3 linked regions of the Coturnix japonica genome follow. Each later gene encodes a partner of the first gene's protein in a complex. Links are inferred from orthologs where the notes say so. Each region holds a gene or a part of one and is shown on either strand. Other genes may lie near its edges.

Evidence for each region.
Region 2: the proteins of WNK4 (region 1) and KLHL3 are in contact, whole or in part, in a crystal structure (PDB 4CH9), measured with the Homo sapiens proteins. The link is inferred for Coturnix japonica from reciprocal best matches to the Homo sapiens genes WNK4 and KLHL3. Residues at the interface, in NP_115763.2 of Homo sapiens: Glu557, Pro558, Glu559, Glu560, Pro561, Glu562, Ala563, Asp564, Gln565; in NP_059111.2 of Homo sapiens: Arg339, Phe355, Gly357, Ser358, Leu359, Arg360, Thr386, Phe402, Gly404, Gly407, Ser432, Tyr449, Gly451, Ser481, His498, Arg528, Tyr577.
Region 3: the proteins of WNK4 (region 1) and KLHL2 are in contact, whole or in part, in a crystal structure (PDB 4CHB), measured with the Homo sapiens proteins. The link is inferred for Coturnix japonica from reciprocal best matches to the Homo sapiens genes WNK4 and KLHL2. Residues at the interface, in NP_115763.2 of Homo sapiens: Glu557, Pro558, Glu559, Glu560, Pro561, Glu562, Ala563, Asp564, Gln565; in NP_009177.3 of Homo sapiens: Arg345, Phe361, Gly363, Ser364, Leu365, Arg366, Thr392, Phe408, Gly410, Ser411, Thr412, Gly413, Ser438, Ser439, Tyr455, Ser487, His504, Arg534, Tyr583.

What each region holds. Positions count from the first base shown.
Region 1 is NC_029542.1:4,638,900-4,649,107, forward strand, and holds the start of WNK4 (serine/threonine-protein kinase WNK4), read left to right. Parts: upstream 1-4,290; coding exon 4,291-4,713; intron 4,714-8,800; coding exon 8,801-8,973; intron 8,974-9,303; coding exon 9,304-9,524; intron 9,525-9,599; coding exon 9,600-9,757; intron 9,758-10,152; coding exon 10,153-10,208. UniProt on the Homo sapiens protein: Serine/threonine-protein kinase component of the WNK4-SPAK/OSR1 kinase cascade, which acts as a key regulator of ion transport in the distal nephron and blood pressure.
Region 2 is NC_029528.1:3,624,400-3,633,847, forward strand, and holds part of KLHL3 (kelch-like protein 3), read right to left. Parts: intron 6,186-9,448; coding exon 6,069-6,185; intron 3,613-6,068; coding exon 3,506-3,612; exon of another isoform or gene 3,474-3,505; intron 1-3,473. UniProt on the Homo sapiens protein: Substrate-specific adapter of a BCR (BTB-CUL3-RBX1) E3 ubiquitin ligase complex that acts as a regulator of ion transport in the distal nephron.
Region 3 is NC_029519.1:20,947,793-20,957,240, forward strand, and holds part of KLHL2 (kelch-like protein 2), read left to right. Parts: intron 1-95; coding exon 96-205; intron 206-1,423; coding exon 1,424-1,540; intron 1,541-2,462; coding exon 2,463-2,612; intron 2,613-3,178; coding exon 3,179-3,296; intron 3,297-3,847; coding exon 3,848-4,045; intron 4,046-4,468; coding exon 4,469-4,570; intron 4,571-5,465; coding exon 5,466-5,594; intron 5,595-9,448. UniProt on the Homo sapiens protein: Substrate-specific adapter of a BCR (BTB-CUL3-RBX1) E3 ubiquitin ligase complex that mediates the ubiquitination of target proteins, such as NPTXR, WNK1, WNK3 and WNK4, leading most often to their proteasomal degradation.

The sequences.
Region 1 (10,208 bases):
ACCTGCTGCGAAGCGGGCTGATCTGTGTGGTGAGGTGGATCCCAAGGAGCTAATCTGAAGTAATTAAAATGAGATGTATTTATAGAGCAGCCTGGGTGTTTTCATCTATCTTTGTTTTTCCATCTGAAACAAAACAGAACAGTGTACTGAATTCTTGCCCTTCAGCTGTGTTTCCTTACTGCACTGTACAAACACTGTACTGGGGAGAGGGTGGACCTGCAAAGGCACCCTGCCTGATTTGGAAGCAGGCGCCACGAAGGCTTTTTTCCACGTGCCAGAGCTACAGACTGTGTGCTCTCACTACCTGTCTTCAGGGTAACATTAGCTTTCATTTGCTATGTGCAATCCACTGAAAACAGATGTGTTTGTTGCAGCGGTGGCGGGGTAAGCTCTGTAGAAGAGCAGGCCGGTGGAGAATGTAATTAAGTTTCATGTTCTCAGTACTCATTATGAAGTCCACAGCTTGTTGAAATGGTGACCCAGGTACAGTATATGACCTGCTAAATCCTTAATCACTAACCTGTGTGTGCTGGAGCTCTGTGCTGGAAGGCTGCTGACGGATCTCTGCATTCCAGTGACACCAACGCTGCAGAGCAGTTCCTGTGCCAGCAGAGCACAGGAGCTGAGGTTCACTGGTTAGACCGTGGTCCTGTCTGCACGTTTGTGGCTCAGAACAGCCAGGAAAATCTTCACGAAGGAATTGGCTGCTACCAGCATCTGTCTGGACCTTATTTTGGTGTCTGGGATGAGCCTCTTCTCTCTCTCCGTGCTGCCCATCTTGATTCTCCCTCTCTCGTTGCTGTGCCCTCTCTGCTGCTTTTGCAGCCCTGCAGCATGTTTCTGTGCCTTCCATTCTCTGCATTCAGTGGCATCTGCATTTGGCCCTGGATGAAGACTCTCCAGCAGACAAGCCCAGGATGTTTGCGTTTCTTGCACTGTGTACTGGCAGTCCTGACCTCTCAGCATTGTTCCGAGCCTCATTTGCTGAATGTAACCTCACTGTCCTTGAGTGAGTCTGGTTTCTTAATTGAATTTACTCCCTTCTTAGGAAATGCCTGATGTGACATTAGATAAGTCTAAAACAAGCCTTTTTCTTTCTGAAGCTCTCCTGGCAGTTAGTCACGGCTCTTTTTCAGTTTCCTGAATCACTTAGTGAGGTGAGGAGGAAGAGTGTGCTTCCCCCTTGTCCCACCCTGGGACAGGCAGCTGCTTATGTTCTCTGCTCGTTTGCTGGGGCTGTGCACTAAGGCCAGGTTGCAGCAGAGATGACGAGCATGGAAACACTGCTTTATGCTGGGGGGGTTACCCAGCTGCCCCTAGGAAGGCTGTGGGGCTGCATGAGCTGTCTGCTTGTTTGCTGTTTATACAATTTATACAGTGCTGACAATGACAAGCTGTAGCTTATGATAAAAACAAAGACTTTATACTGAAACGGTCTTCCTTATCTTTATGTGCTGCTTTATAGCACTTAGTGATGTAATCACAAGATTGGGACATCTGAGCATTGCATTGCCCAGAGGTGCTTACATGAGAGCTGCACCGGATTGGAAGCCCTGGGGTGCTGGGTAGGAGATGTAATTAAACTCTAAAGAGGCAGCGGGATGACCTCCAACTATAACTTTCTCTGTACCCAGGGCAGCTCCTCCCCATGTTCCACATGCATGATATTAGGGCTGTACATAATGCCAGAACAAGGCAAAGAACAGAAGATGTGTTTGTTGCCACACACAACAGATATCGGCTCAGGCAGCCTGCCCTGTGCCCACTGTGCTGCCATCCCTGTGAGCTGCTCGTGCAGGGTGTTGTGGTCTGCACTGCTGCAGAGTGCCCTGAGCTCCATGAGCAATGCTGCCCAGAGCCTTGTGCAGCAAATGCTGCATCCCAGGGTGGGGGAGTAGCAGCAGCCAACCCACGGGACTTCAGTGGATTGTGGGTCCCCATTTCTGGGCTTTGAGGTCACAGCCAACGTCTGGATGTGCTGATTAGGGCTCATGGGCTGGGGCAAGGTGGAGCACGGGGGGCTGGTGCTGAGATAAGGTGCTATCGCACTGTGCACATTTGGGTTCTGCTGTTTGGGGTGGGGGGGGAAGTTGAGAGGATATTTAATTTCATGCAGCTAGTTAGGATCAAGAGTTGCTTCAGTTTGATAAATGTATGAGTTGGGATTAATGTGCATGCAGGTCATGTCTGTGACTCTGGGCTAAGGAAATCCTCAGCAGTTATCTGCCTGGGGCTGCAGCTGCTGCTGAGGTTGCAGTGCTGTCTCCTCCCACAGCTCTGTGCTGTAGAGTATGGGGCACACTGAGCTCCGCAGGTGTGGGGTGTTGCAGTCAACAGGGAACGTTCCCTGCAGCACCTCTGGAGGGGATGTTTCACACTCCTCAGGTCCTCCTGGGGGGCTGCTCAGCTCTCGCTACAGCCCTGCAGGCACACAGGTACCCCTATGTTTGGCCCCAGCCCCTCTGTTATCCCACCCTGAGTTTTGGGCTCAGAACAGAAGAGTTGTTCTTTGATGAGTGATCTAATCCTGAGCAGAGAGACTGTAGTTCCCTGCTCTTTTCCCAGCAGCCAAATGCGTGTGGAAATGCTGAATGGCCTGATTGCAGCGGCTGCTCAAAGCACAGGGCTGGCACCAACACTGGGAGCCAGGAGAAATGTCACCCTGATAACATGCAGGACTGCGTGTGTTTGCTGAGCACAGTGAAAGCACTGACTGCATGGGAAACTCCTGCTTTCAGCCCCGACCCAGCTGCAGCATGATGTCCTGGGATGTGTTGGGGGGCACTTGCATCTCTTTGCAGGGTCACCTGCTACTGCTCAGCCCGCGGTGATTCTGTAGCTGCAGGGAAGAGGAAATATCTCCAGTGCTCACTGCAGAGGTGTGGGGGTACAGCATCAAGGCAGCTTCGTGCCCAATTTCTTCTCTGCAGGGGCTTCATCTGGGGCTCTCATTCCCTGCTCCTCTGGGTCATTTCCAGGCATCTCATTTCATGATGAAAACGTGATAATGGGACACGAGCCTGCTGGAAAAGAGACCAAGAGCCCTGCCTGGCTCTGCGTGTTGTACCCTCGCTGAAGAGCCCAGGCTGCCTGCCAGCCTTGTCCATGTCCCAGTGACCTGGCAGAGCCTGGGGCTGGGGGTGCTTCAGGGCTGCACTGTTGGCTGGGAACAGGGCACAGCTCAGCACTGTCACTGGGTTTTCCCTTCCTGGAGGTTTCCCCAGTCCTCTTTCTAGGGGAGCATGAAGGTACAGAGTCCTGCCTGTGTGCAGGGGGCTGTGCAGCCTGCCCAGGACTTCTGTGGCAACAACACTCAACACGTGCTTCTTCATCCATCCAGCTGGATGGGGATTCGTGTAGCTGTGGGTGAGAGCAGCTGGATTCTGCATCACAGCGTTGGCACTTTAAATCTGCGCAAAGAACACGGCTGTGTTAACATTTCAACCCTTAATGTTTCCTGTACCGCTGAGTAGAAACAATCTGACCTTAGGGAAAAGAAATTAACGCTAGAATCGATTGCTCTGTATTTTGTGTAAACAGCTTTACAGGGTAGAACAACCTCATCATTTACACTGTGGAGACAACAAGCTCTTGTCCAGGCTCCTGGTGAGCGTGAGGCTGAAGGATACCTTCACATCTTAGTATTTGTGTGACCCTCATTTCAGGAGTTCACCTGGTACTGAACCCTGAGAGCAGCAGCTGCCCGGGAGGGCAGGATCTGACAGCACGGCAGTGCCCAGGACAGTGACGTGCAGCTTCAGGCACCGGCACTGCCCTGAAACTTCTCAGCTACAGCTCTGAGAGCGGCTGAAGCAAACACTGCCCCGGAGCCCAACATGGCCGCACATCACCTGGCCCTGCACGGACCCATCGCTGCTGGAATGAACGAGTGGGATCACTACAGCCCTGCCCAGGCACAGGGGCTCGGGGTCGATGTGGGCCCTGTATGGGGGAAGTCCTGGTGCTGGCGGTGCCCGGTGCCCGTCCCGGTGCTTGCTCCAGTCTCCATTCTGGTGCCCGGTGCCCGCCCCAGGACCTGATGCCTCTCGGTGCGCAGCCCGTATCCCGCGCCCATCCCAGCGCTCGCCCCGATGCTTGGCACCGCACCTACAACAGCGCTCGCTCCGGTGCCCTTCCCGTTGCCAATGCCCACCCCGGTGCAACGGGGACTGGGGGGCGGTGGCCGCGCCGGGGAGGGGCGGGTGCCGCTGGGCGTGGCCACGCCGGTGCCGGGGCCCGTGTCGGGGCTCGGGGAGCTTCTGTTTGCGGGGTGCGAAGCTGCGGGAGCTGATGCTGACGGTCGAGCCCGTCGCCGCTGGAACCATGTCCCAGCCCGAGGCGGAGCGGGCAGGCGGCGGCTCCCCGGTGGAGCCGGGGCTCCCCGGTAGAGCACCGCACCGTAACCGTAACCGGAGGCCATCGGGACGAGACTCCCGCCGCGCTTCCTCCCGCTTCAACCGGCGGAGTTCGGTGGAGCTGGAGCTGCTGGGCTACCCGGGGCCGAGCGCGGGGTCACCGCCGCCGTCGGACGCCGCGTCTCACCGGGAGCCGGAGGAGACGGAGAGCGAGGAGGTGGAGACGCGCGCCGTGGCCACTTCTCCCGACGGCCGCTTCCTGAAGTTTGACATCGAGATTGGAAGGGGCTCCTTCAAAACCGTCTATAAGGGGCTGGACACGGAGACAACAGTGGAGGTGGCGTGGTGCGAGCTGCAGGTACGAGGGCAGGGTGCTCACCTTACGGCACGGCACAGCTCGGGGTGACGCAGCCCAGGAACAGGGGCACTCAGGCAGGGGCTGCTCGGCAGGGAGCCTCGGTCCCCCCGCAGCGCACCCAGCGCTCTCCGCTGCAGCGGTGGGGCTGGGAACGTGCGGGGGGTTTGGACCCTCCGTGCGCTGCCGGTGCCCCGGGGTTCGGCTGCGCGCTCAGCCCCGCGCTCGTCGTCCCTCCCACCGTCGCACGTTGTTTTCCCGTTGCTGTGTCGCTGCCTGAGCTACGGAGCGCTCATGGGGCGCCTGCTGCCCCTGCCCGCGGCTCCAGCCCCGCTCTGGGGCAGTGGGGGAAAATCCGGGCTGGGCTGCACCCCGCTACTTTCTGTGCTCATCAGCTCACAGATCGTCATTTGGAAGCGCAGACAGGGTAGGGGAGCCGTCTCAGTGCCGGAGTTGGCTCGGAGGTGCACTTCGTTAGCTCTGGGAAGGCTCTGGAGCAAGTGCTGCAGGTAGCCGGGGGCTGGGTGCGAAAAGGTGCAGGGTACAGAACGTCCTTGCTGCACGTCAGCTGCTTGTCCTTGGTTGAAGTGGTGCCTGTGGGCACCCACATGGGTTTCTATGACGCTTCCAGGTGCTCCCCGCTAACAGCATCTGAACCTGTGGCTTCCCCATCTTCTCCTCCACTGCTCCCCAGCAGCAGGATGTGATGCTGGGCAGCTGAGCACAGCAGTCCCCTCCTGCGTGTGCTGGGAGCAGTTCTGGCTGTGGCAGTGAGGCTGCAGTAGCAGATCTTGGCAGTGGGGCTCCAGATTTCTCCTTGCAGCCCCCAGGGAGGGGCTTTGGTGAAGTCCAAAGTCTCCAACAGATTCCTGCCCCGGGGGTGGCTGCTGCAGCTGGAAGGTCCAAGTCCTTGTTTACAGAGAAAAACATGTCTTGCAAGTTTGTTGTCTTGTTCCTAAAGCCTTGGCGCGTCCGCATGGGATGGCTGCAACCCAGTAATGCAAGGAGAGATCCTTTAGATAATGGTGTGTGACTTTTGGAGGGGTGACTACAGCCTGTGAGAGGAGGATGTGGTTCTAGGCCTCAGTATTGTGAGATGGGGCAACTGCTTCAGATTCCCCAGAGCCGCTCAGTGCTCCCCTTTTGCTATGCCCATGTCTCCCTTCTAAGATCCCTGAGCTCCTGACTGTGCCCTCACCAGCACAGGAAGCCACAGCTCAGTGCTGGTGAGAGCAGCATCTCTGCTGAATGTGGCTAATAGAGGAGCCGCTCATGCCCAGCACATCCCACCTGGCTGCCTCACGTTCCTGCTGTGGGGCCATGCCCGTGTGCCCCACTGTGCCCCAACTGCAGCCATAGCAAATCCTGGAGCTGACAGCACAGCTTGGTACTCATGTGCACTGTGCTGGGCTGCATCCCCTTGCGTACCCAGCGTACCGAACCAGGGTGTCTGTGGGAGTTGGGCTGCAGTCCCCAGCACTTGTCCTGCAGCTTGGGCTGGCACCGTGTGCCAGTTACATTCAGGTGCCTGGGGATTAGAGCAGCACCCTCTGGGTGGAGCAGAGGCAGCCCCAAAACAGTCCCCTCTGCTCTTTATTCAGTGCTTCTTGTCCCCAAGTGCACATCCCGTGAGGGTCTGGCAGCACACAAGCAAACTTGTTAAAGCTTGTTTTTTCCAGCAATCATGCAAAGAATCAGACACTGTGACACAAATACAGGATTTGGAACCGCAAATAAAAATGGTTGTGGTTCTGCCCCTTTAAAAATAGCTTTGTCCCGTGTCTTTCACAGTTCTCCTTTTATTACCTTTAAAATATAAATGAACACCTAACCTCAGCCCTGAATGCAGTTCCGGTCCCAGGAGCCTCATCCAGCCTCCCAGTCTCAAATCCTGGCTCTTGTCCTGGCCCTGTCTCACCACCAGGTTGCCCAAAGCCTTTTCTCTGCCTTCCTGTAGGACCCCTTGGGGGCCTCTTTGTCCCCACTGCCCGCAGCCCTGTGCAGTGCTGTGTGTCCCTGCATCCCACAGACCTGCCATGACCTGTTGTGCTTTCCAGCTTTAGATTTGAGACTATTTCTGTTAGGTGCTGAGGGCTGGGGGAAAGGAGGAAGTGGGGAGGAAACCAGAAGCCCAGAGTGGGATTGAGCTGTAAATAAGTTGCCCATGCGTAGTTTGTCTGTGGGGACCCCTCTGGAGGGGGGAGGAGCAGCCCTATAGGGCGGGTGCTGCCATGCTGCCAGAGATCTGCTCTGGATCCTGTGCTGGTGGGAGGCTGAGAGCTGAGAGGGGAATGCTTGAAGGGGGTCGGAGGTTTGGGAATGGAGCAGGTGGTGCAGGCACCCACTAGGAGAAGAACTGGGTGCTCTTGGATTCCTGTGTGGCTGCAGGGACTGTGTCCTCAGGGCTCTGAGTGCCCAGAGCCTGTGCCATTCCCACTGAGCACCTCTACAGATGGCCCTGGGTGCTTCTCCTCCTGGTGTGACTCTCAGCTCTGCACAGTGCAGTCTTTCACTGATTGATGCTGCTGGGACCCTCTGGCTGAGGTGAGCAGCACACGATGCCACAGGCGCTGCTCCAGCTCTGCAGCTGTGCACACTAGCAGCCATCTCCTGGCCCTAGGATGAAGCTGGACTATTTCCCCAGCACTGCGCTGCCATCCCCATCGTTCTCCTCTTCCTCCTCAGAAGGTGTCTGCTAGGAAAAGACACTGTGTCCCAGGCAGACAGCTCTGCTGGCAGCCCCAGCTGTACATTGTGTGCTGCCCTGCACTGCGATCCCAGCCTGAGTGTCTCCAGTGGGACTGGGGTCATGCTGGGTACCACTCACCCTGCAGGGCAGGGCAGAGCCCTTGAGGTGCCTGTCTCCATCTTTGGAATGATCCATCACAGGCTTGAGGGAAGAGTGGGGCTCCCTTTATCTTTGCTTCAGGCTCCCTGGGGGACACGTCCACATGCCACCCTGGTCCCCCTTCACTGAATGTAGGGAGCCACATTGACAGTCCTTGAGCCCTGGCCGCAGCCTGCACAGCTGCCCCGTGGCTCCATGGGGTGCAGCCAGACCTCTGAGCTCCTTGAAGCTCTGCAGTAGGTGGTGGTGGGCTGGGGGGGCAGGGTGTGTGCTGGGCGGCTCAGGGGCCTTGGGGCGCTGTTTTCCTCTCTGGCTATGAAAGATCCCATTCATCCACTGCAGCAAGGCTCAAGTTCTCCTCTGGGCTGAGCTGGGTCCCTGAGCATGTATTAAGGAAGAGAGGGGATTATGGAGCAGCTCCAGCCCAGCCATGGGGCCAGTTATGATGCAATGAAAATATTACAAAAGCTGCTGGATGGCGGCTGGCAGCCAAAGAGCTGTGCTTGGGACAGGCAGCACCCAGCAATGGGGGCACCTCGCTAATGCTGTTGGCACTGCTGCCACCTGGGCTCCTGGGACTCTGTGCCAGCTCCTGGGCTCTGTGCTCCCTGGTCCCTTTGGCTCTGTGCAGAGTAAAGGTCATTGCACCAGGGCTGTGCTGGGGCACGGGGTGTGGGGCACGTTCGTGCTCCTTCTGCATCCCCATGTTCTGCTGTAGAGGGCCCTATAGGGTCTGCATCCTCCCTGCAGCCCTGCTCAGTGCCTGTGTCAGCTCTCTTTGGCTTCAACTTTAATTAACTCTAGCTGGAGGAACATGGAAAAACCTGGGCTGGAGCCTCCCACGCCTGCTTTCCCCAACAAAGGCCTCATTGAGGCAGGCCGGCTCCCTGCCATGAAGGTGCCTGGTGCCTGCAGCTGCTGTGCAGCAGCGGAGGGCAGGAGCTGCCCAGGACAGGGGCAGACAGGTCTGCACGAGGCAGAACAGCAGGTTGAGCACTTAGAAGTGTGGGGCTAGCAATGCCCATTCTGGTGCTGGGCACCGAGCATTGGCTATGGGTCTGGGCAGCCGGCTCAGGGTGGGTTTCACACGCAGCTCAGCACAGGGGGATCCATCCCTCCCTGGCCTGATTGATGAGGCAAGTGGCTCCGTCAGAGCCATGCACGAGGCTGAGCGCAGGGAGGGGGGTGGGATGTGACAGCTCCACAGCCCCATGTACCCCTCACTCCCTCCTGCCCCTGCAGACACGGAAGCTGTCTAAGACAGAGCGGCAGCGCTTCAGCGAGGAGGTGGAGATGCTGAAGGGGCTGCAGCATCCCAACATCGTTCGCTTCTACGACTCCTGGAAGTCATCCGTCAAAGGGCAGATCTGCATTGTGCTGGTCACTGAGTTAATGACGTCTGGCACTCTTAAGACGTGAGTGGGGGCTGATGGATCAGAGTGTGCAGGGAAGAAGAGGTGAGGGAGGGCTCTGCTGTGGAGCGATAGCCAGCACATGGGCTGGGGGGGCCCAGGGTGTCACAGGGCAGCGCTCACTCTTGGCTCCCACTGCTCTCCTGGCACTGGCATCTTGGCTTGGATTTAGCTGCATTTTCTGTGCTGCCTCTGGGAGGGGGTACAGGGAGCCCCTGGCTGCTGCGTGCTGTTTGCAGCTCAATGGTGGTGGTGGGATCATGGTCAGGCGTGGGGAACGGGGTTGTGTCAGTGTCCGTGGGGTGCTGTGGTGCCAGCCCTGCCCCCTCGCAGCTACTTGAAGAGGTTCAAGGAGATGAAGCTGAAAGTGCTGCAGCGCTGGAGCCGCCAGATCCTCAAAGGGCTGCACTTCCTACACACTCGCTCACCCCCCATCATCCACCGTGACCTCAAGTGTGACAACATCTTCATCACCGGCCCCACCGGCTCTGTCAAGATCGGGGACCTGGGGCTGGCCACGCTTAAACGTGCCTCCTTTGCCAAGAGTGTGATAGGTGGGATGGGGTCATGGGGGGTGTGGAGGTGTGTGTGGGGACAGGCGCATCATTGTCCATGCTGTGTGCTCCCAGGAACCCCAGAGTTCATGGCCCCCGAGATGTATGAGGAGAAATATGATGAATCCGTTGATGTATATGCCTTTGGGATGTGCATGCTGGAGATGGCCACCTCGGAATACCCCTACTCAGAGTGCCAGAACGCTGCCCAGATCTATCGCAAGGTCACCTCAGTGAGTGCCTCAGGGCTGGAGGAAGGGGTGGTGTGGTGGGAGCTGCTGGACCGCGCTGCTCCAGAAGTATTCCACTCAGCAGGTTATGCAAGAAGCTAAAATTAGACTGGGAGCTGAGAAGGTGCTCAGCTCCATGAGCTTTGCCAGGGCCAGCAGAGGGTAGGGACGCCCATGTGCCTCACCCCGTGCGCTCATAGGGTGGAACGGAGCTGCTTGGCTGTTCTGTCCCCAGGGCATCGTGGCTGCCCCGGCTGGACCCAGCCAGCTTCTGCCTTCTGGGCTGGAGCCCTGTGCTGGATCCTGCTGCCGAGCAGGTTCTGGCCCCACAGGGCACTGTCTTAGGGTCACCAGGGCACCCTGCAGCTTCCTGATGGGTGCTGTCTGCCTCTGCCCAGGGCCTGAAGCCCAGCAGCTTCTACAAAGTGAAGGTACCTGAGCTGAAGGAGATCAT
Region 2 (9,448 bases), on another chromosome or scaffold:
TATAATAAATACATGTATAAAGGTAGATAAGTAAAGCTGCATCAGCTACGTTCAGGTGCTTTGTGGCATGCTGCACAAAATAAAGGTAGGGTAGTGTTGCCCTCCTTGATGAATAACCTGAAACCTGCTGAAGGAAACAAGAGTACATCCAGTGTGCACAGAGTGTGCTGTAGGAAGGAGAGTGGACCCCCTGGGTCCTTCCAGCCTTCATGCACAGAGTGACATCACCCAGCCCAGGCTTGGCCAGCAGGATCTCCAAGAAGCACAGAACAGAAAGAGCAAGCTCCAAAGCAAAAAGGAAACAATAAACGAAAAACTAAATCTAAACAAAACAGAGCTTGAATAAATGTTAATTCTTAAACCAGAGCATGAATAATCACTACGCTAAGAAATGTGGTGACTCAATACTGCTGTGGGATTAAGAGGAAAAATAGTTTCTGCAGCCTAAGTGAGAAGTAATTACAGCCTACAGCTCCATACGGAGCACAGGACGTGTCCAGGCACACTGAGTGCACAGCACACAGCATGGAGCAGGGTGCTAACAGGGGGCTGAGCCTGAGCAAAGCCCAGGTCCTGGACATTAAACCTTTGGGTCTTCACTTATACCAACGAGGAGGCAGATAACAGGAGCTGGGTCAGACCATAAGCATGAGAAGGGCCAACAACAACCCAAGGGAAACACGGGCTGAAATAATATTTGCTCCAACTTCAATTTTTAAAACTAATTGATAACAGTTTTATTAAGAGAAGTCCATGAATACAAATATACAAAGGGATACGAGTCGGGCTTTGTAATTGGTGAAATAAACCTCTCAGCCCCAAAACTTCTCCCCACCCTGTGAAATAAATAATTATATTTATATATAGTATATATTATTTTTATATTTTATAGATTTATATATATATATAAATCTCTCCAGAGAAGAGAGGGCTCAGCTCAGCCCAGGTAGAGCTGGAGCTGCCTGGAAGGACCCAGTCAAAATCCCACAAGTGAGGGGCAAAGCAGAGCTGCATTGACAGTGTCCATTGGGACCAGTGGGCAGGAGAGGGGCTGGGACACTCTCCTCTAGGATTGATGCAGAAATAGCTCAGAGGGACTGATCTGATAACATTGGTTGTCTTTGTGCACTCACGTGACACAGCCAACAAAAATAAAGGCTGTGTGGGTTTCTACACCCACCAGCAAGCTGCCAGCCCTGCATGCTAACATCTTCTAGTGGCTCTGCTCTGATACCATCCCACAGCCACAAAGAAAGTCACACTGTGTCCCAGGGCAGGGGCAGTGGGGCTGGGACCTGAGCCCTCCAGCCACATGTCCTAATGAAAACAATAAGACAAAGGCCCAAAACCTCAGCCCTTAAGTTCTTGGAAGAAGAGGAATGGCTTGGGTTGGATGGATGTGGGAGGGATGCCTCCTCCCACAGCAATGCTGAAATCCTCCCATGTTACTCATAGTAACAGCCCCACCTCCATAGTATCTGTAGTCCTTCTTGAGATGATTACCGTGGTTTTGTTTTCCCATACTGATGGAAATTATTGTCACCAATCACCCCCAGTTGTGGTGCCAACAAGGACCGTGCACCTGAAACACTCAAGAAAACCAATAAAGAATAGGAAGTGCTGGGTCTTGTGTCTCCTTCAAGCAGTGGAGAATGCAAGTGGAACAAGTGCCTGTTTATTGCAGGACTTCCCAAGGCTTTCGTCAAGAGACAGGCCTAACCACAGGTCACTAGATGGCAAAGGAATGATCATCAGAAGGCCATCCATTAGTCCAAGATCAGGCCAGTTACAGGGAGCAACACACATGCATTCAATATCAGACACTGGGGTTGAGCTGTGGTTCATTTCCCATTGCTCAAGGCTTTATCCTGACCAGAGGATCCACCCCATTCCCCAAGAAGTGTTTCCTCCAGCAGGGACAGTGTGCCCAAGCTGCTCGCACCCCTGCATCCTGCATCCATTCTGCAAGCATGCACGCACAGAGGTGCAGCTGCCAAGTCACACTGCTGATGTGCAATACATAGCTGAAAAATAAATCCCAACAAATAGCCAAGCTGAGACTTTAAACATTTGGCTTTTAGAAACTGAACCAACACAGCTTTGCAAGAAGACCCAGTCCATAGAAATTTGGGATCAGAACTGAATGGACAACTGGTCCTTGCCCGATCCACTGCCTGCAGGGCCGTGTTGGGGCCCCACGGCTGCCACCCATCCCAGGGCACACTGAGCAGCCGCGTGACTGCGGGGCCTGATTACTGGTTAACTTGCTGCATGAGGGATTACACTTCTGGAGAATTCCTACGTGGAAACATGAGCAGCCCCAGCCCTGCTCTGCACCACTGCATTCCTGTCAGGTGACCTCTAAGGATCAGAGGGTTCTCCAGTGATTTTTTTTTTACTTCTAAACCTTCCTGTCAGGAACCAGCATCACAAACACTCCCCTCCCCAAAGCACCCAGTGCCAAGGCTCCCCACAGAGCAGCAGTGCCATTTACCTTTGCACCCACACAGATAAAGCCACGTGGCAAACTTCACATCTTGTCTAACATTCAGACATTGGTTCACACTTAAGCTTCTTATGGAAGGGAAGGAAAGATGCACAAACAAGAGGCTTTTTCCCAAGAAATTCTGCATTTTGCTTCTAGTATGGCAAATAAATCAAAGCCTAACCTCAAGGTCTGTAAAAGCAAGAAGCACCCACAATGCCAAGCTGACACTGTTGGATCTCTCTGGAAAAGGCTCTCTACTCTTCAAGGCCATAGACCAAGGAGTACAAAGCACATGCAAACACCATAAAGAGCTGAAGCTCTGAGACCATGGCAACCATTCTCTGCAGCATACATTTACCTTGGTTATGTCAGTTCCTATCCTAGAAAGGAGGACAAGGAAAAGGAAAGGAAGCTAAGGTGCTCCTGACCATACTGACGTTACCAGAAGGACCTAAATAAGTTGGCTAATGCCTGCCTTGGGACCAACACAGCTCTCCTTGCTGTCCCACCCACTGACAGCCATGGCCTATAGGGATCAGGTGATTGGGGCCAGAATTCTGCCCCCTCCTTCCCTTCACATTGAGGTTGCATCTGCCATTACCAAAATACACGGGGCTGTAACAATGCACCCTGCAAGAAAACAAAGTAAAAACACAGAGCTACTAATGCACACTGGGATCCAGAGAACCACAGTGTTATTTTGGGCAGCAGCAACAAGTGCCATGGGAGATTAAACATCCGTGACCACGAATAAGCATCTGCAGGGCTGGGCCTCAAAACTACAACTTTTGTGCCAGCAGCTTCTTTGATGTGAACAGGGCACAGCACGTGTGCCTGATGTTAACAATGTGTGGTTTCACGACCCAAGCATTTGCTGAGGAATAAAAAACCACCCACAGCAAACCAAGCCCCACAGTAACCTTCCTGTGTGAGTGATATTCTGCATGCTCCCCCATAGCCTGATGCCGCCCCCAAGCCCATTTACCGTGCCCCAGTGCAGGGTCTGCTGCAGAGTACCTGTAAACATGGCACAAAAGTAAGGGCTGCAGGCTGCCAGGACCACGCGGTGCGCTTCCATCTCCACAGTTTCTGCCACAATCACTACATCACAGAGCAGTCGTTTGCTGGAAAAACACCAGAATAGACAAAGATTGTTTCAGAACTGGTAAGGAAAAAAAAACCCAAACACAACAAGTACATTTTATGCCTGAAGAAGCAAGCAGAAGTCCTACTGCTAGGAACAAGGCACTTGAGCCTTTAGGGGACAGCAGTCAGGCCTGCAGCTTACCCCTGGGCCTGAGAACTTCCCTACCCCATGACTTAGGTGGGATTAAGAGTCACAGGAATAAAACAACGGGTTCCAAACACAACCAAATAACTTCTATGCTCCCCACTGAATCACTGTATGGCTTTAGAAAAGCCACTTCATTAATCAGTGACCTTTCCTAGCAGCCCCACGTATGTCCTTTGAGGATTCATTAGTTAATGTTTGCACAAGGATTGGAGATGCAGACAGTGAGGAGTGCTCAGCCTCCCAATAAGTTGGTTTAAGATGTTTGAGCATACAAATGCAAAAATAAAGGCGTTCTTTTCAAATGTTAAGCCTGAAAAAAAAAAAAAAAATAGTTTAGTGCCTGCAAATCTAGATGGAGCCGTCTCATCAGAAATGCTTATCAAAATGCTGTGCTTTCTCCCGGGAAACTACACATCAAATAAATACATACAAAACTCCCCATGGTCTTGGCATGTCTCCTCCTCCTCCTACTCCATGGAAGAAGTAAACAAAATGATTTGTGAAATGGAGGGTTACTGATGGAAAACAGAATGAAAGTAGGAACTGACAATCTTTGTTCTACCTTCATCCTCCTTTGGAAGGGATGAGGGCAGTAATGGGAGCTCTTTGAATCGGCTCTTAAGGGAAGCTTCCGTTTCCTCCAACTTATGTAAAAGATGCCCCATTCAGTTCCTCTATGGACTATAGTTATTTAAAGTACCGCTCGTTAAAGTTAATTCAATTTACATTTGAAAGCTAAAAATTCCAAGTGAGCAATATATTGCAAATAGGCTAAAGGCTCAGCAAGATTCTTGGTGACCCTCAGCTTGGGACTGCTCCATCTCCACTCGGGATTTCTCCGTGCATTTGACCTAAGGCACAATTATTCAAGGTAGCTATTAACACTGACTGTCGACAGCTTAATGGATCACAAGTGTAATAGACATGAGAACTGTATATTCCAGAACAGCAGCAGGGGCTGAGGAGGAGGGTACCTAGAAAAAGAAAACATCAAATAGGTTCTTAAGGGCAGCTTTCTATTCTATCCTGTATGTTTTATCCCTTCACCATTACACAAGACCTAGCTGACTGCAGGCACTGAGAAACACTGTCAGTCTCCAGCTATTCCCACTGTGCTTCAATTAACAAAGGAATAATAGGAGCACAATAGATTTCTGAATATAGCCACACAAACCTCTATTTTCAGATCTTTTGCTTTCAGTACAAAGAGACGACTAGAAGGATGCCAATATTAAAAAACCATACTTTGCTTCATTTAACTGTTACAAGGGATGGACATCTCCATTTTCTGCTCCTTACGCAACTGAGAATCCCTATGAGACATCTGGAAGAAGACATTTCTCACCCTTCTCTGCACTGGAGAAAACAGACATTGGGAAACTACTAAATCCACAGAAGCGAGGTGCTACAGCAGCCTCTTTGGAGTACTCTGAGCATGCAGAAAGAGTAAAGGCTGTTATCTGCTTTCATCGTGCCATCTGGAGAGAGGGAGCACACAAATGTGTACGACACGTATTTTTTCACAGGACTTCTTTCAAAGCTTGTGACTGCTGGAATGGCAAACAACTCAGATGAATTTGCTGTTAGAAATACTCCCTGAGCCTCTGCCTGGTTCTTGGGGGAACAGCTGAAAACCAGCACAGGTTTAACTACTGCCATCACACCAGCAACTGCTTCGTAAGGACTGTGCTTGCTTACATTTCCTCAGCCCCCATTCTCCCTATGCCCACACAGCTGTTTAAAGACACCAGGGTGTTCCTTCTTAACTGACAATGGCATTTTTTTTAATTTCCACATAGAGACCTGAGCTGTTAGTGGGGCTTTTTTCCTACTTTGAAGTGCTCAGCCCAGATTGAGCAACAGCCCCAGTTCAACGGAATAAGAACAGTACATTCATAGTCCCTGGTCTGTAATTATGTGTAGGTGTCTTTCTGTCTGTAATATTCTGTTACTGGTTTTCAGACCATTAGCCCAGCTAAGAACATAGTTTACAGCTAAATTTGCTGTAAGTAATGGAAAATGCTACATGAATTATCATCACTACAGTGAAGGATATCACTCAAATAACTTCTTGAGCTGCTGTTGGCTTCCTTCTGACTGGAAGACAGGCAATGTGAGAACGGGCACAGCACCCCACCACAATGCAGCTATATTGTAGCTGCTTCTTTCCACTTGCTCATCAATACCCTCCATGCAACCATGAGAGTTCTCTATTTATTTTAAAGCCTTTCTGTTTCAATCAGCACCTTTAAATCAGAGAGGATGCCCATTAAGTCAGAAACGTACCTCCGCAATTCATTCATGACCTTGAATGCCTTTCTCATGTGTGAGGGGTTGACCGTCACTGTGCGCTGGTCCTTTTCATCTTCACCTGCCTCAGAGGATCGGGAACTCTGCTTAATGCTGGAAAGAGGAACAAAACAAGAGCACAGAGTTTGATTCTGCGACGCTTCAAAATTAACAGGTATCATAAAACTGCAGCACAGAGCATTATCCATGGAGTTGCTTGCACATTTGTTAGTCCAACCAGGATTGCCATATGAAGAGCGTCACAAAACGCAGCTACCTCTGCACTGATGTGGAAAGCCAAACAACCCAATCAGCAGGGAAGAAAAAGAAGTGCCAAACACTCGAGGACAAAGCCCAGTCTTACAGGCTGCAGTCCAGGAAAGCAGCGTAAGCTGAAATTCAAGCCAGAACATAATTGCCTGACTGAATCGGAATAGACTCCAGCGCTGGGAGTTGCAGGAGTTCCATGGATATAGTTTGTAGAGAAAGAGAAGTTTTACCTTTTCACTCTCATCTGAAAAACCAACGCATACAATACATCTTCTTCCATAGAGGCAAATAGAAAAGGACTATTGAAACTACCTGCAGATTTTCCAAGCATTAGCTCTGCAGCAGCCACGTTCCGTTTCCATTCTAGAAATAGGTCTATTTAGTGCCACTGAAATGTATAGAAAGAATTACTAAACTCGGCTTTCCCGGCAGAACTACAGGCTGTATAGGTAATGTAAAACCAGATGCACCCAGTTCTGTGCTGTGTTTAACCAGGCCAACAGGTGCCTAAGGCACATACGTGTCCTCATTACTTTGTTCTGAGTGTTGGCTCTTTGCACAGAATTGACATAAGGTCAATATCACCACCTCTATGATTCCAAAACGCACAAAATCACTCGGAGCTTAAGGTTCCCACCTGTAAAACAAAGCAGCATTTTAGTGTGAGATAACTGTTCCACTAAATCTACAGCTCATACCTCGAGCCTTCCAGCAGGCAAAAGCAAATAAAACAAGCTGAGCAAGGTCATCCTTGTTGAATATCAGCTCCAAGTGAATGGCTGACCCTGGGAGGTAACCCCATCACCACCACCCAGCAGCCTGGAGCCCTGCTCAGAGCTTTCCTTCCAAAGGACGGTCCCCATCAGCTTCAGGTTTCATACCCTTCTCCTTGTCGCCTTTCTTACTGTGCTTGTTTCAGGACAGAACAAGCTGAAGCTGGTTAAACCAACAGCTGCACATCCAGGCTGTACCACAGGCGGCCTCTGAAGAAGGGTATAAAGCCAGCAAAGAGGGTAGGGTCATTCCCCAGAACAGCCTACTGACCCCTGCCAATGCCTGTACATTATATGTATCTTCAAACACAGTAATTTTCTCCCTTACAAAACACAATTATTAACTATTTACAGCCCGCGATGTGTTCCCTTTACCAAACATGACATTCTTGTGGTCAGTAGCCCAGTACAGCCAGATGACAAGCCAGAAGGGAGGGCACCCCTTGTTAAACATTCAGCACTCACAGGGCTGGCAGCAGACAATGACACAGCCAGGTTTTGTGTCCTGAGGAAAGCAGTGAGCCTACAGCACACACAGCATCCAGCTCCCATCCAGCCCCACTGCAGCCAGGAGCCTCCAAGCACCACTGTGATGTGACCATGTTCAGCTGCACCTCCGTGCTACACTGATCAACACCCTCTGTTGAAACCTTTGGCCTAGTGAAGTTTGACCATAGCTCTAAAATCTCAGCCTTGCTTTTCAAACAGCCAAGCCTTCCCTTGTGCCATGCCAAGCAGGGCAAAGCAGGGATGTGAAAGCGTGAGCGGCTTCTCCAAGCTTTCAGTCTCCAATGCACAAGTACATACAGAAAGCAAACAAATAAAGGGAAAATGAAACTGAAAGAGGTGAGCAGACACCTGTGCCCATTGGATGCTGCTTACAGTCACAGTCAGAGACCAACCCTGCAGGATCCCAGACCAAGCACTGCACACAAAAATCACACAGCTTCTTTAATCCAGAGCAGCGTGCCACTGAGATTTATTTGTTAGCACTCCGATGCCAGCATCCAAAGACTCATTATTTCCCAGCAGGCAAGAGATGCAGATGAGAGGACGCAGCAAGTTCTACTGAACACCAAAGTAAAGGTCAGAACAACACGCCTCCATTGAGCCTCCACTGCACCACGTTGGTCTGTGTATTTTAAAAGCACAAACCTTGTTCTTTTTGAAAAAGACCAACCAGATCTTCCTATAAAGCATGAAAAGCAGCTCTTTCTAAAGCATCCTGATGAACGTTCTCAGGTTTACTAGAAATGGTGAATTTCATATTATACCAAAGAGCTCGCCATAGGAAAATACTGCATTTTATCTGGCTAGCAACTCGCTTAAATAAAGAGGTAAAATCAATATATGCTATTTAAAGCTCTTCCCAAATGACTAATGTGAAATAAAAGTTTAAAAAAAATTAACGGCCAATTGCCTTTAACTCATCTCTCAAACTGAGTCAGCTTCCACAGAACTTTGCTCCATTAATACAGAGGAGAAAGATTTCACACCCCCACACAAACTCACAGATAACACCAACGCGTTCCTAACATCAGAAACACAAGGATCCTCCACTGCCTGCAAACACAACCTGCCTCAAAGAACTGAGCTGCGCAGACCACAGAGCCCACTTACGTAACCCTGCTTCTCCCACTACACGGAGAGCTGTTACGCTTCAGAATTACTCTGTTATTTCAGTAAGGCAGCAAAACCAAGGAGAGAACCAAGTCCTCGCAGCAGAGTGGGCCATGCCATCCTGCCCATCCCCGAGCTGCGCCAGGAGCTGACATCCAGCACACAGCAGGCCGGGTGCCAGGAGCAATTTGTCCCACCCTGGGCCACCCGAAGCCGTGCAGCGAGTGAATGGACAAATGATTTAATTTCCCTGAGCCAGATGAACACCCTCGTTAGGGACACAGCAGGACTGAGCCCAGCCATGCAGTCCTTCCTTTCAGAGCACGCCAACCGTGCTGCCGTCCCTCTGCACGGCCTTCCGGTGCCATCCCCAAATGGAACAAACGTACCCCAATTTCAGAGCCCCACACTGTGCCAGTGAAGCTCAGAGCACTGTTTACAGCCATTTCCCCCTCTCCAAGCTCAGCAAGCTCAGCTCAGGCTCAGCAGCTCCTTTGACTGAGCTGGGCCACGTCCCAGCCTGCGGAGAGCACTTACAGCCCATAACCCACAGCTCCGCCGCATGCAGGCATCACTCGTAAAGTTGGGTTGCCTTAGTTACCAGCAGTAATTACAGATGTCTTTGTAGATTGTGCTAAAGAATAAAAGCCTCCCTTAGAGCTAAACTGTCCCCTTGCAAGGTTATTGCCATGTAGAGAGCTAGTAAACCACAGG
Region 3 (9,448 bases), on another chromosome or scaffold:
TGGAAACATATTCACTCTTCTACTACTCTAATGCTTGGTTTGGTGTGACTTAGTGCTGTATGTTAATGTACTTTTTTTTTTTTCTCTCCAAACAGAACAGCACTTCTCTGATGTTGTGCTTAGTGAAGAATACCTCAATCTTGGTGTAGAACAGGTGTGCAGTCTGATATCCAGTGACAAACTTACAATTGCCTCAGAAGAGAAGGTAAGTCCACCTATACTACACTATTCTTTCGTATAAGAAAGTAAGCTTGTTCTTACTGCTCCTGAAAACCACCTGGATAAGTTCATTGTTTCCTTAATGAAATTAAGCACAAACTATGCTAGTTTAAAAGATTTTTCCCAAAAGTATTGTCAGTTTGGTAAAAGTCGTAGAATTGTATTAAATCACATAATCCTTTATTTCTTGAAAAAACAGTCAGTTAAATGGAAATTCCTTCTCACTTTCACCAGAACAAAGAGAGTGTGCGCTGTAAGTCAGCATACAGGTTAAACCAACTAAGAAATAGTAGTCTGAAGAACAAGTGAATGCCATCTACTATGACATAAGCAATCCCAACAAAGACTAAGTGAACAAATATGCGTTGTAAAGGAAAGTAGCTTGATACAACCAACCTTGAATTTGAAGAAGTTTAGGTTCCGCTTTAGGTAGATCTTACCCTGCCGAAGCTTGTGGAACTGATTGAGTCTAGCAGATATCCTTGAACCTCAAACAATTTTTTGCATGTGCAGAGGCATCTGCTTCGAGTCTTTGAATCTAGTTGTGATCAGTTAAAAATCTGTTTTCCTTTTTCCAATGAGTATGTAGCTGTACTGGCATCTCTGCTAAAATGAACTTAAACTGCATTTTAAAGCGTGTTTCAGTACTGATTTGATGTCTCAGTTGTGTTTCATGTTAAAACATTTTTTTCATAATGGAAATACTCTCAATCTAAGAATACTCTGGTTAAACTGCAGTTAACAAAGTCAAGTTGCAGTTCCCATAATACTGTGAAGGTCCAGATGTTGTTGGTACATACAATGCTAATAAGGTTTTAATGCTCAAGTATCTAATCATCTGTTGTGAAATAGAGGAGAAACAAGATTTGGTGTTGCTGGTAAGACAGTGATGATAAGTCATTTGAGTGATGGTGTGGTATGTCAGTTCTCTAAGACAAGAAGAAAAATATGAGCACTGTGATATCTCTGCTACATTGTTTATACGGTAATACTGGTTTTTCAGTACTAATGAAATCACTGTGTGCATTTTGTCAGTGTAGCACAACTGCCCCTATATTGAATAAATATAGAAATAATTGGAGCTGTAACTGCTATGGTCTTTTCTTACATTAGAAAAGTAAAAGCTATTATTGGAGACAGACTGATACTTTTGTACTCACGGATTTGTAAGTCAAGGGACTTGCATTTGTTTGTTTCCTGGAAGGTATTTGAAGCGGTGATAGCATGGGTAAACCATGACAAAGATGTAAGGCAGGAGCTAATGGCACGCCTGATGGAGCATGTCCGGCTGCCTTTGCTTTCCCGGGAGTATTTAGTTCAGGTAAGCAAAAAAGAATATTAATTCTTTAGCACGTGAACAGTTGTTTATTTTTTTAATGTCAGATGGATAATTTTAAATTTAAACAACAGTATCACGTAATGCATTACTAATGGTAAAAAAACAAAAGAAACCACTACCACATGTGCACACGTGTATGCATGCGCACAGTCAAATAAGAGATTGCCACATAAAGGATGCCACGTATAATTAATTTACTTGCTTGGATGACTGCTTGTCATGGCATACTAATAATCTGAATGAGATAATTTTCTGAGATCAGGGTAGCTTTCATATGTAATACAACTTTGATACAACACTTCCTAAGAGGAGTTTAAGTTTCAGAATTATATCTGTTAAAATGTTTAGGGATCAGTGACAATGTTTCTTTACCTGGTTCATATATAAAATAAATATGTATGTTAATTTTGTGAGATCATGTTGGTCATGTTGACTATGTCAGGTCAGATATTTAACACTGAAAATACGGTATCACCGTTAACATTAATAGGTAAAGTAGTAGGGTGGTAGTATTTAGTTTTAGAAATTCTGTCTTTATTATATGAATTTCTTCCACTTCGTTGTTGCAGGCTGCTTTAAATTCTTTTCTCTCCTCCAGTCTACCTTTAAGCATTTGTATTTGAAAAGCCACGAAATGTCTGGTTGTGAGCAGTCACTTGCTATTGCCAAATGCTTTTTCTTCCACTTACTAATTAAGAGAATCTACATCTTCCGATTTCTTCTCGATCGCTGCATATTGCCAACAATTACATATGTTAGTGCCTAAATGGTTAAACTATTAGCTAAAAAATTAAGGTAATCTGTATTTTTTTCTGTGATAGAGGCTTTATTACACCTCAGAGTGTGATTTGTGTTTTACTTCCTTAACGTGCTCAGATCTTGTTAAACCTCTATTAATAAACAGAGAGTTGAAGAGGAAATACTGGTTAAGAACAGCAGTGCTTGTAAGGATTACCTCATTGAAGCTATGAAGTATCATTTGCTGCCAACTGAGCAACGAGCGCTGATGAAAAGCACTCGAACGAAACTGAGAACACCTGCTAGCCTTCCAAAAGTAAGACCCTAATTTTTCCAATGCACTTATTTCTTCAAATTTCATTTTAACAAATATGATGACAGCATTAGTATCACTTAGTCCAGTAAAATAATTCACATCAGAATAGATTGTCTCAAAAAATATCAGAAGAGGTTAGCTTTACAATCCATATAACCTGTGAAACAAGTTTTGTTGTGCTCTTAGCAACTGTAAGAGTGGAGTAGAAGATTCCTTTCAGCAGGTTTAGCACTTTTACCTCAAAGGAACCAAATAAGGCTGTTCTGTGATGGATGTTCACAGTACTGTTGAATGTCACAGCTACTAAATTATCCTACCTGCAGTCCAAGTATGATGTGGAGACACAGCAGAATCTGCCTCGTTCATGGGAGCTTTTAATTCTTATTGGTTCCTGCTTTTGTACCTCAGATATTTTTTTCTAGACAGAGCTAATAATTGTGTTTTTTGAAAAATGAGTAATGCCTACTGCAAGGCCCAAATTACTTTTTTAGAGGATCACTCTTTGGTTTTTAAAAACAAGTGCACTCATATTTACAAATAATTAACAAATGTTATCTCCTTTTCAGTTAATGATGGTAGTTGGAGGGCAGGCACCAAAGGCCATTCGCAGTGTTGAGTGCTATGATTTTAAAGAAGAACGCTGGCATCAGGTGGCTGAGTTGCCTTCCAGAAGATGTAGAGCAGGTAAATAATGTCCAATATCTTATGGCATTGGTTAATGCTTCAAACTTCTTGTCTACATAAAGCTTCCTACACTTGTTCGATCAGTCATTAAAATAGTTATTTGAGAAGGGCTAAGTCTAGTCTTCAGCATCATCCTTATAATGTGAATGACGCACTTGCTTATCTAGACACATACAAGTTTGATAATTTGAATGTAATTTGTATTTCGGCTCATAATGAGATTAAACTACTTCAACTGCCAGCAATACAGAGGATAAATATATTAAAATACGAATACATTATAGTAATTAGTAATTCTATTACTAACATACCTTAGTAGTATTATGTTAGATGAAGAATGTAAAGAAATGTCCACCTGATACCAAGAAGATGAAAATGTGATCTTAAAGTATTTGAGATATCTAAGGAAGAAGTAATTCAGCAAGCATCACTTTCAGGAATGTGAAACACGAATAACAAAAAGTATCACAACTTCTAGTACTTAGATTGAAGGAAGGGTGGCTCTATGACACTGCCTTTGTAATGACAACTTTCCCATTTTCCTGCTCTAGGAATGGTGTACATGGGAGGCATGGTTTATGCTGTTGGTGGTTTCAATGGCTCATTAAGAGTTCGCACAGTAGATTCCTATGATCCAGTGAAGGACCAGTGGACAAGTGTTGCTAATATGCAAGACAGAAGAAGCACACTGGGCGCAGCTGTATTAAATGGACTTCTCTATGCTGTGGGAGGATTTGATGGGAGTACAGGTATATTTGCCTTTACATTCTGTTGATAAGTTTTCTTTACTCTTGATGCAACGGTATCAAATATTTTGTATCTCTTACCTGTGATGAAAGGAATGGTGAGGATAGCCTAGAACCTTGTTGTTTGAGCATGCTTTTTAGTTGTCACATCCTTCTACTCAGTACTGAGCTGTGGGCTGTTCTCTTTAATAGATTCTTTAATAGCTACTACTGATGAGCATGTGTACACGGGAGAAAACATTTTCTCTTTATTTAAAGAGAATGTGGTGACTGTATTTGGCTATTTAAAGTATACCAATTATCCCTTTTGCATAGTAGTTAAGTTTAAAATTTATTTGATTTTACAGGTAGGAAGAATCTTCTGGAAGGTGTAAGGTATGTTGCTTCTAGATTTGTAGAGAACATAATGTTTTATTGTTTTCATAGGCTTATCATCAGTTGAAGTTTACAACTTAAAGACTAATGAGTGGTTTCATGTAGCTCCAATGAACACAAGAAGAAGTAGTGTTGGAGTGGGTGTTGTTGGAGGTAAGTTTACAAGTAACATTAGAAATGAAGAGGAGAAATGCAATCATTTACCTTATTGTCTTTTTTCACCTGCTTCAGATTTTGGTTTTTGCACAACCCTGTCATTTAAATGGTGTGAACAAAACACAGTCTTTCTACTTTGTTTTGGCAAGCTTTTAGTATAGGTGTTGTAATGTTTTTTTCAGTTTCAGCTGTGTATCAGATGTGCCTAAGGCCAACCAGCAGGAAATGTGCTAGCCAAGTATGCTCTGTATTATGCACGTCAGCAAAGATAAAGAGCCTGTTTACTGAACCTATGTCCAGAAATTGGTCTTCAGTGATGTAACTTTGTGCTGTTGGCTTTGTTATCTGTGGCTGATGTGTTCAAGGGCAACTTGGTAGCAAATAGCTTGGTCGTTGCTTGTGCAATGCAGACCACAGCTAGTTTGTGCGTCCTGAAACAGTTTCAGGCACTTCTTTATTTTAGCTGCATAGGAGCCACTGTTTCTTATCTAGAAAACTGAGACTATTCAAGTAATTTTCATCTGAATTTTTTTGATGTTCCTAGAAAGCCTTGAAGTGAGCGAGCAATGTTAGATGCACCTGAATTAGTTTGCCTTTGAACAGTTCTTAATTAAAAACAGAGAAAAGTGCCTTTATATTTCAGCTAGGCAATTCACAATCTTTTGACTTGCGCTGTTCTTGTTAGATACAAAAGCTGCCTTTTACCTCCTAGAAATGACAAGAACCACAGTGTATTATCATGAACTACGGACAAAAATAGAAACTTGCAGTAACCAGTTGATACAAGTACTGGGTAGCAGCTAACTCAGAACAGTGACATCCCCTCCACATGTTTAACAGTATAGTCCATGTGCATTAGAAATGTACAGATTTTTCTTGATTACCTTTATAGGTAAACTGTATGCAGTTGGTGGCTATGATGGGGCATCACGTCAGTGCCTTAGTTCAGTTGAATGCTATGATGCCAATACAAATGAGTGGAGCTACGTTGCAGAAATGAGCACTAGAAGGAGTGGAGCAGGTGAGTGAACAAAAATCAATGATCATAGTAAAACCGAAGCAGATTTGTGGTTTTAAATTTTACTGGAAATATAAAAGGTAAGCTGAAGTCTGAGTGTAATGAAAAATATTAGTTTTAGATGGCAGACTTATCTCAGGTTATAAATACAGAAGTGTCTTGTAGAGTAAAATTTGGTCTGCTTAAATATTTTCCTTTGCTTTTTCATACTTTTCATGCTCTACCTATAGTTTCTGAATTTTACAATGGACTACGCATGGTTATTACAGTCATTGTAGTATTAGCTAAATAGTGAATTATCAAAATTTAGACGCCCAGGATGAGAAATGTCATTTCCTCAAAAACCATCTCTTTGCCAGCATTTGGCTGATTTATCTAATAGCATTTTCAGATGCACTTTTTATGTGAACCATAAACTAGATTTCCACTTCTTTTTGGAGTATTTGTTCTTCATTATGGTTTACTGCAGGAAATTCTGTCCTTGTTTGTTCTTAAGTTTGTATTACTGATTTCATCTTTCTACTTCCATTTATGTACCCTTCGTTTCATCTTCAGTAATTCTTCTCACCACCTGATGTTTAAACCCTTTAGATATGTACAATTACTACATTATCCTTCCTTATAGTTTATCCAAGGTAAATCCATTTATTTCTTTAGAATCCTAAAAGTACTTATTTTTTTTCATGGATTTTTTTTTTTTTTCCCTTTGGGATTCTGAATATATCTATTTCCCTTCAGAGACATCAAAAGTGCCTGTGGTATTCTGTTCTTGCTTAATGAAATGATGTTTCCAGAGCTCCACACTGACTTTAGCATTTTCATTATCTATAATGGACTCAACTCTCATTTACTGTTTGCTGTCCTCTATTTGTCTTTTGGTATTTCAGGTTTTTTCAACTTGCTGAAGTTGTTTTATTTCTCTAGATGCATCCAACATGAACTTTTTCAAGTCAAATCGCACAGTATTATTTTTCTACATTTATATTTTCTCTTAGGTCACTTTTTTGTCAAGTACTCAACGGTGCTTTTTAGCAACACCTTTCAAATATCAAATATCTACCTGTGATTGTGCTAACCTGCTTCATAATTGGAAGAGATGTTGCTACAAATAAAATAGATGGCCTTGCAGTCTGCTCTGTAGATGACTGATAGTTGTCACAACTTTTCATCTTGCCTTCCATTATTCTTTATTAATATTGAGTAGTTTTTAATCTGTGTAATGATGTTTAAAGTCAATCCAAATTATTTCAGTAGGCATTATATAAAAGTATTAAAATCAATACTGAAATTAAGCTACTTAGTTTGTGATATTTCCTTTAATGGTTTTACAAAACTACCAAGTAGACAGGTCCACTATTGCCAAAAATAACATTTTTGTTGTTTTTAATTGAAAGCTATCACGTTAATGAAATAAATCTGATATGGTACATCTTAATAAAAGCAGTAGTTTTCTTGTGAGACTTCTAGTTACTTTGGTTGTATACCATGAAAATAAATCCCGGATTAAAGCTTGGCCAGAGCTGCAGTAAGGCAGCTGTCTCATACTGGCAAGTTTTGAGGAAGATGTTTACATAAAACAGCCAAATTACTTGAATGATCACGAAGACAAATTGTGTTGGTGGGCTGCTAAAAAGGTTCATTTTGCAGTCTTTGAGCAATGCCCTTTTATCTAAGTTTAAAAAATATAATAATTAAATGGGAAAAAAACCCTTACAACCTGTTTTTGCAAACTGTCATTGTGCCTGCAGCCTATTTATATACTGGATATTTTCAGGTGATTTTTTTTGTTTGTTTGTTTGTTTTTAATTTTTTTTCTTCTACAAGCCTAAAATTTAGTGCCTTAAATGCAACAGCTATAAGGATCTTTCTGCCCTGCCCCTCTCCTCCTGTTCCTTGCCTTAGAATTCAGGACCTTGTTTACATACCTGTGCCGCTTTTTACCTTATCTTCTGTTTAAAAAAAGAAATAGAGAGGAATAAGGTGAATCTAGTCAGTAATTTTAGGTTCACGTAATTGAGGAAAATAATCCAACATTCTTTGGTGCCACTCGTAAATGCATGGAAAATTGTATTTATGCTTGGGGAGGAGTGGGTGGTAATGTGGAAAAATCGTGACTGTTGATTGAGCTCATCTGTCAGCCAGATATCTCAAACCACTATATCTGCTTCAACTGGTGGTCAGTCCTAGTGTTTTTAGGTACTTGCTAAAAAGAATTTTGTTCCTGTATTAAATCTATGGATCTCTGTTCATCTCGAGGAACTTTAGCCCATCTCTTCTGTTCCTACTGCTTCATCTTCATTCAAAAGCAACTTCAGAGGTTAACCCTCAGTTAATCTTCTCTAGTACCAACTGCATCTCAGTTGATCAAGTGGGGACAAATCTGTTTCCGGCAACATATTGGGATGAGGAACTTCAGATTCAGATATAGGCCGTTTGGGAGGGATGAGAGAGGTAAGACAGGGTCCTGAAAAATGGGCAGGAAAGAAAAATAACAGGAGAACTCTGAAGACGGCAACAAGAAGATACAGACGGAAGGAGCAAGAAATAAGGTAGGACTTGGAAATGGGGTGTGGGGTTAAGGGAAAATGAAGGGCCAAGGAGAAATGAACGACATTTTCAAAAAGAAAATGAATTGCCAAATAAAAAATGGCAATATGGCAGAGGAAAACTATATATGCTATATAGGCAGGTCAGAAACTGGAGAGAAAACTCAGGTGGGGAAGAAAAATATCAATGAAGCACATTCTTTTTAGTTATTTGCTTGATCTATGTCACGTTGCACATTTAAACTAAAAATCTTAGCCATCCTAGCTCTATCATGTTTAACATTACCAAAGATGAATGTTGTATTATCCTGTCTAATAAAGTGAGATCAGAGTGGGAGAAAGAAAAGCTGTCACTTTGTACTGTGACGTGATAGCTAGAAATAATAGCAATCAAGGAGGAATTAAATTAACAGGGATGGGTACAGGCAAATGTCAGTAGTGAATGTCACTGACAGAGCACTAGATAGCATGATTTATAAATCAGTGTCATATTAAGACCTACTTTTCAGATTTGCGATACTATTTAACTCTTCCATGTTTCCTTCCCCTTTTCCTTTAGTTATTGAAAGCTGTTGTTGTTTTCTATATGAGAATTGTTTCCGCAGGATTATTTTCTCTTCCCCTCATAGTATAGGAATGGCCCATACTCACAATCTTAGTGATATATTTTTCAAAGATGTTTTGGCTGGTTTTCAAGGTCTCAGAACATTTTTTTTTCTTAAGCCACATTTTTTTTTTTTTGGTCTGAAAAACTTCATATTTGCCATTTCCTTTCCTTTTTAATACATGTTTTAAGCTGTGCCCTTTTTGTGGAACTCTTTAATAACTATCTTGGCAAATTTGTATCATGCTATTTAAACTTTACAATCTCAAATATAACACGTAATAAGTTTCCCGGTGTACTTTCATAGTAATGATTTTTAATTATCTTTATGGTCCATCATTTGCAAGTTTTAATGCCAAAAAATTGCACTTCTGAAACCCAATATGTTTGGGTTATAACAGTGCATTATAAAGTGAGGCATAAACTAACAGGCCTCCCTTTTTGTTTCCTCTGATACCATCTTTTCTGTACGTGCAGTCTAACTAGCAAGTAGGCCTAGACTAGCTACTTCATCCCAAGCTTATAGATTGGTAAAATGTTGTAAAGGGGATGCTAGGATTAAAGGAGATCCAAAAAATACTTCTGGATAATTCGTTAGCTAAAGCTTGGCTCGAGGAAGTTTTGTGTTCTCCTCCAGATCTGCAGGAAGAAGCTACTCACTGTAATTGTTTACTTTTGTTTCATACATGTTTATAAGGTGGTATCGT